Linked DNA regions of Mus musculus. The protein of the gene in region 3 interacts with the protein of the main gene of each other region in a pairwise test. Links are inferred from orthologs where the notes say so. Each region holds a gene or a part of one and is shown on either strand. Other genes may lie near its edges.

Region 1 (3,647 bases), on a different chromosome or scaffold from region 3:
TCATTGGTGCATATGTTACACAAAACTGTCACTTCTTCCATGTTATTAGTAAATAATGCTTTCATTGTCTGGAAAAACATCAGGTCCCTGTTACGCTTTGGTAAATGTTCTTGGATGAGTGAACTCCCCTGAATGTGACAACAGAGGGCAACATTTTTGTGTTCACTCTGGCATGAGAATGCTTTATTCCCATCTGTTAAGCCTCTTTCTAGGCAGGAGAAGCATTCTGAGCTGCATGTTGTATCTGCCTCTTATCTTGTTGTCCAGTTAAGTCACATGATGTGTATAGAACTCGCTCCAAGGATTTTAATTTTGACTTTCTTTGTCTTTGTACAGGTCAGGTTTAAGTCGAGGGACAGACCCCACCCCCACCCAAGCTTCCCTTATTGGAATCTCTGACTTACTGAGCTTTAAGTGCTATCAAAGGTTCTTTTAAGGAATCTATAGTAGAGCTCAGGACTTCAGTAAACTGGAGGCTTACTGATAAACCTACCCTAATTGTGGTCTCCCTCTGTACACGTGTCCTGCTGCAGTGGCAACCTTCATGACGCAGGCCACCACTGTCCTAGCAGATAGACCTGTACTTATTAACAGCAAATAACTTTCTTTAGTCATATAATGATCTAGTGTACTTTGATTCATACTGAATATTATAGTTGTATTTATTTTGTTTCTCTTTAGAACTAAAGGTGGTCCACAGATTGCTTATGAACGCAGCTTTAGGTGGAAGCTTGCTCACTTCCGTTACTTGTGCCAGGTACTACAGTGGTAAATAAATCTCATTTATAATCATTAGCCTGATCATTATGTAATACATATGCTGTGGCTTACATAATATCATGTTTTTGGTTTTAGTCTAATGCACTACCGAGTCATGTAAAGATCAATGTGTCCCGACAGACATTATTTGAAGATTCCTTCCAACAGGTAAGGAAGATATTATCAGAATGAAACAGTACTTTTTGTCTCATTTTATTCTGAATTTCTAAAGAGAGTTAAAAGTTTTTGATTCTTTAAGCATTTATAGTAACCCTCATTCCCTGAGTGACTATATTAATAATTATATGAAACTGTTATGTGGGCCGGAGGCATACACGGAGGCAAACCATTCATATACCTAAAATAAAAGGAAACTTCACAACGTATTAAGTCATAACTATTGACCAATTATTGACAATTTTTTGATGCTTTTCTTTCCTCATCACAGCATCTCTGTGGTGATGGTCATTTGGTGTTCAATAGCTAAGATGTCTAATATAATCTTAAGATATATCCTCGTGGAGTCCAGTCGTGACTGCTATATCTACAAAATTCTATACCCAAGACTCAGAGGACACTGCAAAACAGGGGCAGAGTTTCATTGCCTACCATTGTCTCCATTTTATAGACAAGGGTGCCACACTGAGAGACAGTCCTTCCACCAAAAATTTAGGTGTAGCTGGCTGTCATATCACATGCCTTTAATCAGCATTCTAGAGGCACAGACAGGTGAATTCTTAGCCACGTAAGGCTACATCGTGAAAGTCTATATTAAAAACTAAGAAGGAAAGAAAGAGGCAGGGGGAGGATGGGTAAAGAAAAGAAAGGAACAGGAAAGAGAAGAAATGAAAATTTTAGGTGTATTTAAAATAAAATTTAAACAGCATTTGGAACAAGTCTGTTTTGACACTTACTTTGTTAGGATTTTATTACTTCAAACAGTAAAGCTTGTGAAAGTCAAGTTTTAACAAATCAAATCAAATTGGTAGATTGTGTATCCATTGACTATTCCATCAGTAACTCTTATGCTCATCTGACATCTAGGCTTCACTGAGCCGTGATCAAGATGAGCATGTTGTCTACAATGACAGCCTGCCTTCCTCCCCGACATGGCTTCTTTCTAGCCATTCATGAGCCTTCATCAGTTTCATCACACCATTCCTCTCTGTCTCCTTTCCTGGAATGTGTGCTGCATGAGAGCATGGATTATTGGTTTACTTCACCTCTGTCCAGTACCTAGAAGAGTGCTTTTAGTATAACAGTTATTCAGGAAATACTTGAATATGTGACTGTAACATGTCTGCCTTTCTGGAGTCATTTGCAGAATATTTTTAAAAACAATAACATCATTTTTTTATGGTGAAATGGAGAATTTTTCGTGACCTTTCACTGTCTTCCAATGCAATGACTATAACTTTCTTAATACTTAAATATGTTTCATTAAATTGTAATTATTTTTTTATTCTTGAACTTAAAATAAAGTTCCATCATTTCCCCCTTACATTTCTTCCCCTCACACTCTTCCATATACCCCTCTGACTCCCTTTCAAATTTATGGCCTCTTTTTTTCACTAATTGGTGTTACATGTGTGTGTGTGTATAAATATTTATTTATGTCCCTAATACATAAACGCATAAGCATAATTTCTATTTCTGTATAATGTTACTAGAATTTATGTTTTTATGCCTTGCCATTTGGTGTTAGCCAGCTGGTGTGCTCTTCCTTAGGGAGGATTTCTTCTTCTGACCTCAGCATCCCTTAGTTGCCTTTAATTCTTTATATAGGGTTGAGGCCTTGGGAACCTTCTCCTGTCCATCTTAGCATGTCCCTTGGTATTCTCCTTGTTTTAACTCATGGTTAGGCAATCATGTTGGTGAGACTTTATGGAGTAGCTTCTATCATTCTTAGGAGTAACAATCTTATACCAAACTCCCTGATCCTCTGGCTCTTAAAATCTTTCAGCCACTTTTCTGCAGTGGTCTCTGAGTCTTAGCTATGGGAGATGTTTTGTAGATAGATCAGTTGGGACTGGATTCCACAATTATATTTTAAGATAAGACATATTGGCTATCTAAAACCAAATGTCCAGCCACAAAAACATATGCATAGTAGTAACATTATACAGACGAAACATACAGAATAACATGTAAAAGGAATACACACACACACACACACACACACACACACACACACACACAAGTAACAACAATTAATGAAAAAGAGGCCGTAAATTTGAAAAGAAGCCAGGTGGAGTATATGGGAGAGTGTGGAGGGAGGAAGTGTTCGATGAGGGATGAAAACTACACATCTGTGGGTATGAGGGCAAATGTTCAGAATGTAGTTGGAGATGATGCTGGTTTAGTAAAGTGGTGGTTATAAGCTCTCCTTCAAGCTCTCTGACTTTCTCAGCTCTGGGAAGTTGGCTAGGTTTCCAGTATCAGGCATGATGAACCTCTTGTTGAGGTGGACTTGGGTCTAATTACAGATTGTTACTTTAGAGTTGTTGTGCAATGCTGGTTGCTATTGTTCTTTTTGTTTGTCTGTCCTTTTTACAGGTTAAAATGGAATAGTAATACTGAAGGTCTAGAGACTTTTATAACATAGCCTCATTTTACTAGCTGTTAAACTTTACAAAAGATAGTCGATGCAGCTATTATCAAAACTGCTTGTGTATGACTAATTCTGAGCCAAATGATTGTTTCAAGTTTCCAAGTGTATTACACATGGCTTGTTCAGAGCTATATTTGAATTACTTTAGCAAGTGTGTATCTAAATTTATGTTAGTCGTTATTTTACTTTTTCTGTCTTAAGTCTGTTCAGATATGGGGCTGAGATAAGAGATTCAGATATAGATTGAGAGCATAATTGCCCTTTAGGGAAGCCTATT
Region 2 (3,647 bases), on a different chromosome or scaffold from region 3:
CATCTTCTTGCGGCTACGTTTGGTGGGAGCTAGGTCATGTCTGGGGAGAAAGGGTAAAAAAGAAAGTCAATGTCTTTAGCCACTCTGAAGGCCATCTCCCCCACCTGTGAGACCCAATACCACCCACCCATGCCTAGGAAGAAATCACACCCTAAGCACCTCACCTCTTTCCACGCTGCGCCCTGCCCCGACCTCGATCCATGTGGGCCCCTCGACCACCCCGACCCTTGGGGGGTGGGTTCCTGCGGCCTACAGGGTGGCACTCATTCCCTGAGTAGGAGCTGTCAGAGTCTGAATGGGAGTCACTGCACAGGAAAGAGAAGTCAGGCCTGAAGCACAAGGGTCAGGCTCCACGCAGTTCCCCCCCAGCGCCCTTCCAGCCCAAGCCTGCACACCTTCTCCGAAAGTGTCTCGTGGGAGACCTGGATGAGGAGCGGGAGCGTGAATCCGTGCTGGAGGAAGAGCTGTTATCCTTCATGAAGACGTTGCGGTTGCCGAACTTGGTGAAGCTGCTACCCCGAGCTCGGCCAGCACCCCCAGCCCCAGGTGTCCCTCGCTGGGATTGGGCACCCCCGCCCCTGGTCACCGAGCCTGCCCCCCTGGAAGGGTGAAGGCTGCTAGGGGCCTCCCACCGCTTCTTCTTGGGGCTCTCAGCCACAGGCTCCCTGGTCAGCCTGAGGATATAGTAGGGCAGGGCATTACCAACCAGCCACCAACCTGCAGTTCTGCAGACCCCACCCCATGGCCCAGGGCCACCAAACCTGAGAAAGCAGAGGCACTTACCCCGGCAACTCAGCCACTGTGGTGCAGGAAAGGGACCAAGCCCAAGATTGTCTGTGTCCAGGGGATGCTCTTAGCCATCAAGCCACCCATACCTCCCTAGTAATCCCTTCCCACTTCCCAAAACCCATCCTTGGTCACTCCTGGCCTCCTGCCCACCCCATGGGGACCTGAGATACAGGTGTCAGCTTTTGGGACCACTTGTCTCTGAACCTGCTAGTTTTGAGATCCATGTCCCCAGCCCATATCTGTTTCACAGTGTCACCCAGACTGACCCAGGCAGAGGCTCTCGGCTCCAGTCGATGGTGTAGGCAGAGCCATCCTGGAGCCGGGCCTGTAGCACCTCCTTGAGCAGTTTCTCTGTCCGGTCCTTGTCCTCTTCTGACTCGCAGGCGGTGAAACACCGTTCCACATATTCCTTCATATCCTGAGGCCAATCATCTGGCTTCCCAGACAGGTTTCCCCGGCCAGAAGGTCCACTGTGGGGTGGGGGATAGACGAAGGCACTCAGGTGGGAGGACCCACACGTGTCAGCAGAACTCCCTCTGTGATCTGAGAAGGCAGCCTTGTTCTGTACATTTCCCCACTCCCTTCACCCCACGAAGCACTAAGAGTGGTGTCTAAAGAGGCCCTGGAGCACAGAGCACGGGCGTGCGGGTCAGGGTAACAGTCACCTGCGGTTCTGAGTGTTCTCCGAGTTGGGCTGGGGCCCAAAGCTGCTGTGTTGGCCCTCTGAATTGGAGCTGAAGCTCTGGCTGGTGACAGCAAAGGGCCGCTTCTGGATGTTAAATTTTAGACCCCCAGTCCCAGGGGCTGCTGTGGGAGGATAGCAGAGACAGGAGTTAGGCCCTTCCCCAGACAGTTAAATAGGCTAAGCTCTGGAACAAGTTCCTAACATGAGCATACCTGTTCTAGAACAATCTTCCCCTAGACTAGGGCACATAACACCCGGACAAAGGACTAGCAACCCTGTGTGGCTCACAGCCAAGCTCCAACCCTCTGACTTCCCCACAGATACACTAACTTACGTTTCATGCGGGTCCATAACTGCTGACCCTTCTTAGGTTTGGCAGGCTCGCTGTAGCTGTGTGGCCCATATGCCTGCCCTGTAGGAGCCCCGGCCTGACTGTGCTGAGTGCTTGGGGCTGTCCCAGGCTGAGGGCCGTTGCTTAGACTATGTGTCCCATGTTGTGAGTTTGAGGGCTGAGGGGGCTGAGCTGCAGGTAGCTGCTGAGGGGAAGCCTGGTAGGCCATACTCTCATCCATGCCAGGGACTGGAGGCTGCAAGAAGAAGCAGAGGATGAAAGAAGCAGGCAGCATCCTGGTGCTGAGTCACATGGTATTCAGTCTTTATAGTCATCTTCTTTAGCACTCAGTGCTACAACATTTTGTGGGTTGCCATAATGTGTGCTCAGTGACTCCCTGGGGTATGTATTTTCACTAGCAGCTCATTTCACAACTGAGAAGATTAAGCCTCAAGGGACTGAACAACTTTCCACAGCCCAGCTGTCAAGGAGCAGCTACCAGCAATGCCAACACTGGGTTGTGACTCTACCACACTGATGACACATCTACTAAGGTTCCCTCTCTTGAGCACATCAACACACAGGACAACACATCTGCCCAATCCCTATGAGAAGATTGCATCCTCTCGATTCTTAAGAGCCACCAAGGTATGGTAGTCATGTGACTCAAGAGGTCCACAGAAGAGGCAAAGCACGGATTCAAACCTAGGTCAATGTACTTCCCACGATCTGGGCTCTTCCACTCCTCTAGGCTGTGCCAGATGCAAAGGCAGCACGTTGGGTAGGTACAGGTGTGCATGCACCATCTGCTGTGTATGTGTATGTGGGGGGGGGGGAGGGGGAGGAAGCAGGGGAGGACTTCCTCCTGAATACAGGCTGAGTGCACATGCTGGAGGAAAAGGGAGAAGACAGACCGCCAAACTACAAACTATCCCCACTATCTTCCCAGTACTACAGCCCCCTGGCCTTGCCCAGCCTCAAGCCCATTCATCCTACTTTTAAAAGCTAAGCTTTTAAATTAGGAGCCTCTTGGCAAGAAAGAACAAAGAGGAAGGGAGGGGGCAGCTTTGAAATCATGCAGACTAATGGTTCTAAGTCCTCTCGAGACCCAGGCTCTCTCCCAGCTGACCAGGAGCAGCGAGGCACAGCATTACCTGGTTCAGAGTCCCTTGGTGCTGGGGAGCCGATGGCTGCTGGGCTGTAGCTGAGCCGTAGGAGCTGGCCATCCCATACTGGGAGGGGGAGCCATAGCTCTGGTACATGCTCTGCCAAGGCACAGGGGGAGCCAGAGTTAGTGGAGGCTGCTCATCATGCCTTTGGCCTCCCTTGGAACTGTGTACAACTCCAGAGGCTTTGGGCCCCAGGCCCTTTTTTCCACCACACAATGAAGTAATCATGTATTCTCATAAATGAATGAATGAATGAAAGAAAAAGTAGTAATCACAAACAAAAATCTCTTCATTCCACTTATATCATACCCAGAGTTCTTCTTAATAGGTAGTGAGAAACACTAAGTGCCAACACTTTTAAATGCTATGATAAAGTGATAGGGGCAACAGCTCATCCCTTTAATCACAGGACTTGGGCATGGGGCAGAGGCAGGTAGATTTCTGTGGAATTTTGAATAAGCCTGATCTATACAGTGAGTTCCAAGCCAACCAGAACTACATAGTGAAACATTGTCTTAAAAAATCAACAACACCTCCCAAACAACAACAACACAAACAAACAAACAAAAAAGACAAGCTAGTTGTGGTGGTGTACATTCAGGCAACTGAGGCAGAAGAGAAGCCTAAAGTCAACTTGGGCTATATAGAGAACCGTGACTCAAAAAGAAAAGCA
Region 3 (4,284 bases):
TTGGGAGGAGCATGCTGTAGTCTGTGCTGGGGACTACTTCCATATTACAATTGTTATGGGGAACCTGGGCACCCTAAAATGTATGTAGGTCCTTTCCACCTAATCCCCCACTTCATCCCTTCTGTGACCATGACCAAAGATGCTACTAGTAATGACTTCAGACTTGAGAAGGTCTAGTTCAGGAACCTCGAGAAAATGAAGGGCCCAAAAGTGAAGTGCCACCTCTTAGTTACCTCTTCCACACTAGGGCCTGGACCCCAGTCTGTCACTCCTCCAGGGTTCTCCCTCCGTCTCTAGCTCCTCTCTTTTCCCATCACTGGCCCTCCCACCACGTTGCCACAAAAGCCCTATTTATCTTGTGTTTCCTTCCAGACCTCTCTAATTCATTCTCCTCCACTTTATTTGCCAAAGGAAATAGTTCTTAGTTCGATTGGAAGTCCCCACATTCATGTTTACCAACCCAGCCCACCCCAGTCTCCCTCTAGAATAGGCATCCTCTGCCCTCCACCCCTCTTCTGAGACTTCTCATGCCTTCTCTCCCACAGAGGGATCTCCGGACTTGCCTCCAGCTTTCCTTCATCATTCCCAAATTCTTGTGGTTTGCATTCTTCTCAACACCAATCACTGCCTTAAACGCTTATCTCTTCCAGAAACACCATTCTCCTAGTACGTCTTCATCCTTTCCCGCCCAGGTCCACAAACTTCCATCGTAGGCTCTCCAAAATAGCTCCTAAACCCCTCCAGCCTCTACTTCTGGCCCTTCCTCTCCATCTTTCCAATACAGTCCCATTATCCAAATCTCTACTTCATAATTCCCCAAACTCCACCTACTTCACCCCTGCCACAGCCCCTCTTGTCCCCAAACTTCTCCAGCCTCCCCAGGTCTGCCTTCGCAGTCCACAGCCCCTCCCACCCAGCCCTCTCCCGCGCGGGGCCCGCGAGCTCCCCACGCTCTGCGCAGCGAGGCCCTCTCTCTCTGCGCCCCGGCCGGCTTCGGCCAACTCGCCCGGCGCCTCCCCTTCCCCGATCCTCCGCCCCCCGACTGCCGCGCGCTCCCTCCCTCGCGTCTCCTCCGGGCCCCTCTCTCTCCTCCGTTCCTCCGCGCTCCCTCCTTCTCCCTCTTCCTCCCTGCTCCCATCCCCCTCTCCCGAGCGCCCTCCCTCCGCCGTCCGCTTTCCTGTGCGAGTCGCCGGACGCGCCGCCCAGCCTGTCCGTCCGCCCGCAGCCCCGCGCCCGACCGGGGCCTCGGGCCAGGACGCGTTTCGGGGTGGCAGGCCTCGGGGCGGGCTAGGGGCGCGCGGCACCAGCGGCGGGAGGGTCGGGGGTCGCGGGCCTCGCCGGGACCGCGAGTGCGGGCGGAGGCGGGCGGTGCGGCGGGGGCGGGCGCGGGCGGCGCGTTCCGGGCGGGAGGGCGGGCGAGGAGCGCGAGAAGCCGATCGGGGCTGCGCGGGGAGCCGGGCATGGGGGCCGCCCTCCGGGGGGGCCGGGGCCGCCGCCGCCGCCGCCGCGGCAGCGACTGAAGCCGCGCTGTAAGGAGGGGCGGGGAGTGGCCGCCGCCGTCCCCGGGAGGCGCCGGAGCCCGACCGCACTCGCAGCCAGCCAGCCGTCCCGAGCTGCTCGCAGGTAAGGTCCGCTGCCGCCGGCCCGGGCCGCCCCGTTCCGGCCCGCGGCTCCCCGCCCCCACCCCTCCCGGTCCCCCCTCCCGCCGCCGCCTCCATTTGTTATTTTCCCGGTCGCGTTCCCTCATTGCGGGCACGACCGGGCCCGAGGCTGGGGACTCAGGGGGTGGGGCCGCCCGGAGGAGGGACGCGGGCCTGGGAGTCGCGAGCTCGGGAGGTGGGGGGAGGAGGGTTTTGGGAGGAGGGCTGACGGGGCCGAGCGTCGCCAGGACCAGAGCCTAAAGGGGAGGAACGCCGAGGTGGAGACTTGGCGGAGGTAAACCGGGGGATGCTGTGCGGGTGGTTCGCGGAGAAGGCAGGACGGATCGGAGAGATGGCAGCGAGGTGGGGCGTGAAGGCTCCAGTAACCCCACAGGCCCAGCACCGGGTTTCCAGGTTGCGGGTCTTGGGAACAGGGAAAGGGGTGTGGTAGGTGGTAAAATGAGGGTTGTAGCTGCCGAGACGGGGGATTGAACCTGGGGGGAATGGAGATGAACCGGGAGAGGCCCAGCTTTGAGAAGACCGACGTTTTTTGGGGTGGAAATGGGAAGGCCATATCTTTTGTGACTCAGTTTTCTTTCCCCCAATCCTGGTCACCTCTGACCCCGTTTTCCTAATCCCAGACCTAGTTACTTCGTGAAGGGGGGGCACTGAGTCTTGGTAGTGTGAGTCCTCCTAACACGAATAAGAAAGGCAGGGATACTGAAGGGAGAATTGGGAAGGTTGGGAGGATGGGAAAGAAGAGAAGATTGGGCAATCATATAGGCATTCCAAGGAATTGTGACCTCCACCCTCACCCCCAGAGCATTGGCTGTCCCATAGGAGGACTTCCTTACTGCCTTGATCTCAGAGATCTCTTTGTGCCTGGGGTAGGTTACCCTAAAGCTCCCTTTCCTGAAAGGTTGGAGTTGCTCTGGCAACTAAGGTGGTAATAGTGGCTGCCAGATGGACCCCTGGGATGGTCTCTTGGGGGGCACTTTTTTTTTTTATCCATTTTGTTGCCATGGTAGTGAGACAGTGGGAAGTCCAATAGGTGGGGATTCAGTATGTAGATTGGGCCTCTCTCAGCCTGTAGCTTTGTCCTTGGTGGGTCTCCGGGAGATGTTTCTGGTGTTGCCCCAAGTAGGGTTTCCTAAGGAGGCATCCCTTCTCCTCCAGAAGTCTATTGGAACAAGTAACCCTGTTGCTTGCAGGTCATTCCTGCAAGCCTCTACCTGGGTATGGTGCGAAGATGAAAATGTTGTTGTTCAAACTATATTGTCTTGGGCTGGGGGTAGCTCAGTAGCAGTGTTATTTCCTAGCATGCATACAATAGGCCCTGGGTTTGAGCTCCAGAACCAAAAACAAAATAAAAAAAAAACAACCAAGTTACATCACCGCGGGCAATTTCTGTCGGCCTCTACCACTCTTATTGTCTTATAAATGGTTGACTCTTTAAACTACTTTATCTCCTTGAATTCCTCTTTGGGTCTCTCTTCCTTCTTTGTCAGTTCTCAGGGTGACCCTTTCATTCAACTGATCTTTGGCCTTTTTTTCTGAACCTACAAATGTAGCGTAGCTCTCCATGCCTGTCTGGGTGAGGGTGGCCCAGGGGCGATGGCTATGAGAGAGGTTAGAGCAGAGCAGGATGCTCTGGAATGGGGGCTGGGAGACCGATGTCCCTCTGTGACCTTGGGCAAGTCACTTCTCTTGTCTTTGCGCTTCACCTTCTTGGTGTGATGAGATGGCCTCTAGTTCCTGCAACAGACCTGGGTTCTAACCAGGCTGCATTATCTGCTCCTCTGTGCTTTATGGATGTCTTGGTCATTTTCACCTGATTGTTAATGTGGCAGGTCTAGAATGGATTTGGGGTGGTTGGTGATCCTGGAATACATCTTGTAAGCTCTTCCCAGGAAGTCTGTGACATGGTCATTTTCTGACATTCCTGTCATATTTGCTCCTTACTTTTTAAAAATTTAATTATACGTATGTATTTATTTTGTGTGTGTGCTACAGTGCACATGTGCAGGTCAGAGCGTGACTTGAGTTGGTTCTCTTCTACCATGTGGGTTCCATGGTCCAACTCAGGTCATTGGTTTTAGTAGTAATCTCTGTTTGTTGTTTTTGAGATGGGCTTTTAGCCAAAACTGTCCTTGAACTCACTGCCTAAGGAAATGACCTTGAGTTTCCCTCTATTTGCAGTCCTGAGATTGCAGGCCTGGACCACACCCTGTTTTATAAGGTGCTGGGGATCTAACCCAGGCCTTCTCGGAATCTCACCTCTGACCCACACCCACTTCTCTTAGTTTTCTTCCCTCTGCCTACCCATGGACTCTTTTCTGATTTCTTATTTCCCTGCCTTCCAAGTTTTGGTCTTCCTTGCTTTCTTTTTGCCATAAGGTGATGAGGGCAAATGTGTGTTGTTGTACATGGTAGGTGCTTCTAAGTGTTAGACAGAGACAGCCTTCTAAGTGTCTAAGTGTTAGACAGGCAAGATGAAGCGCCACGTGGCCAGTTGGTTTTAGAGTCCCACTGTACCTGTGTTAGACTTAACCTACGATCTGACCCCAACCTCTTCCCAGTTCCATTCCTTCTTCTGCCGATCCCAGGAACTTCTTCCCCATTGAAGACTGTTTTTCTTTCAGAT

What was found.
Region 1: the proteins of Atn1 (region 3) and Wwp1 interact in a two-hybrid assay, tested with the Homo sapiens proteins (2 studies listed by BioGRID and IntAct). The link is inferred for Mus musculus from reciprocal best matches to the Homo sapiens genes ATN1 and WWP1.
Region 2: the proteins of Atn1 (region 3) and Leng8 interact in a two-hybrid assay, tested with the Homo sapiens proteins (2 studies listed by BioGRID and IntAct). The link is inferred for Mus musculus from reciprocal best matches to the Homo sapiens genes ATN1 and LENG8.

What each region holds. Positions count from the first base shown.
Region 1 is NC_000070.6:19,635,885-19,639,531, reverse strand, and holds part of Wwp1 (NEDD4-like E3 ubiquitin-protein ligase WWP1), read left to right. Parts: intron 1-681; coding exon 682-757; intron 758-855; coding exon 856-927; intron 928-3,647. UniProt on the Homo sapiens protein: E3 ubiquitin-protein ligase which accepts ubiquitin from an E2 ubiquitin-conjugating enzyme in the form of a thioester and then directly transfers the ubiquitin to targeted substrates.
Region 2 is NC_000073.6:4,140,446-4,144,092, reverse strand, and holds part of Leng8 (leukocyte receptor cluster member 8 homolog), read right to left. Parts: intron 3,071-3,647; coding exon 2,960-3,070; intron 2,062-2,959; coding exon 1,809-2,061; intron 1,597-1,808; coding exon 1,455-1,596; intron 1,260-1,454; coding exon 1,056-1,259; intron 675-1,055; coding exon 396-674; intron 306-395; coding exon 165-305; intron 41-164; coding exon 1-40.
Region 3 is NC_000072.6:124,753,635-124,757,918, reverse strand, and holds the start of Atn1 (atrophin-1), read left to right. Parts: upstream 1-1,431; 5' UTR 1,432-1,623; intron 1,624-4,284. UniProt on the Homo sapiens protein: Transcriptional corepressor. Recruits NR2E1 to repress transcription. Promotes vascular smooth cell (VSMC) migration and orientation. Corepressor of MTG8 transcriptional repression.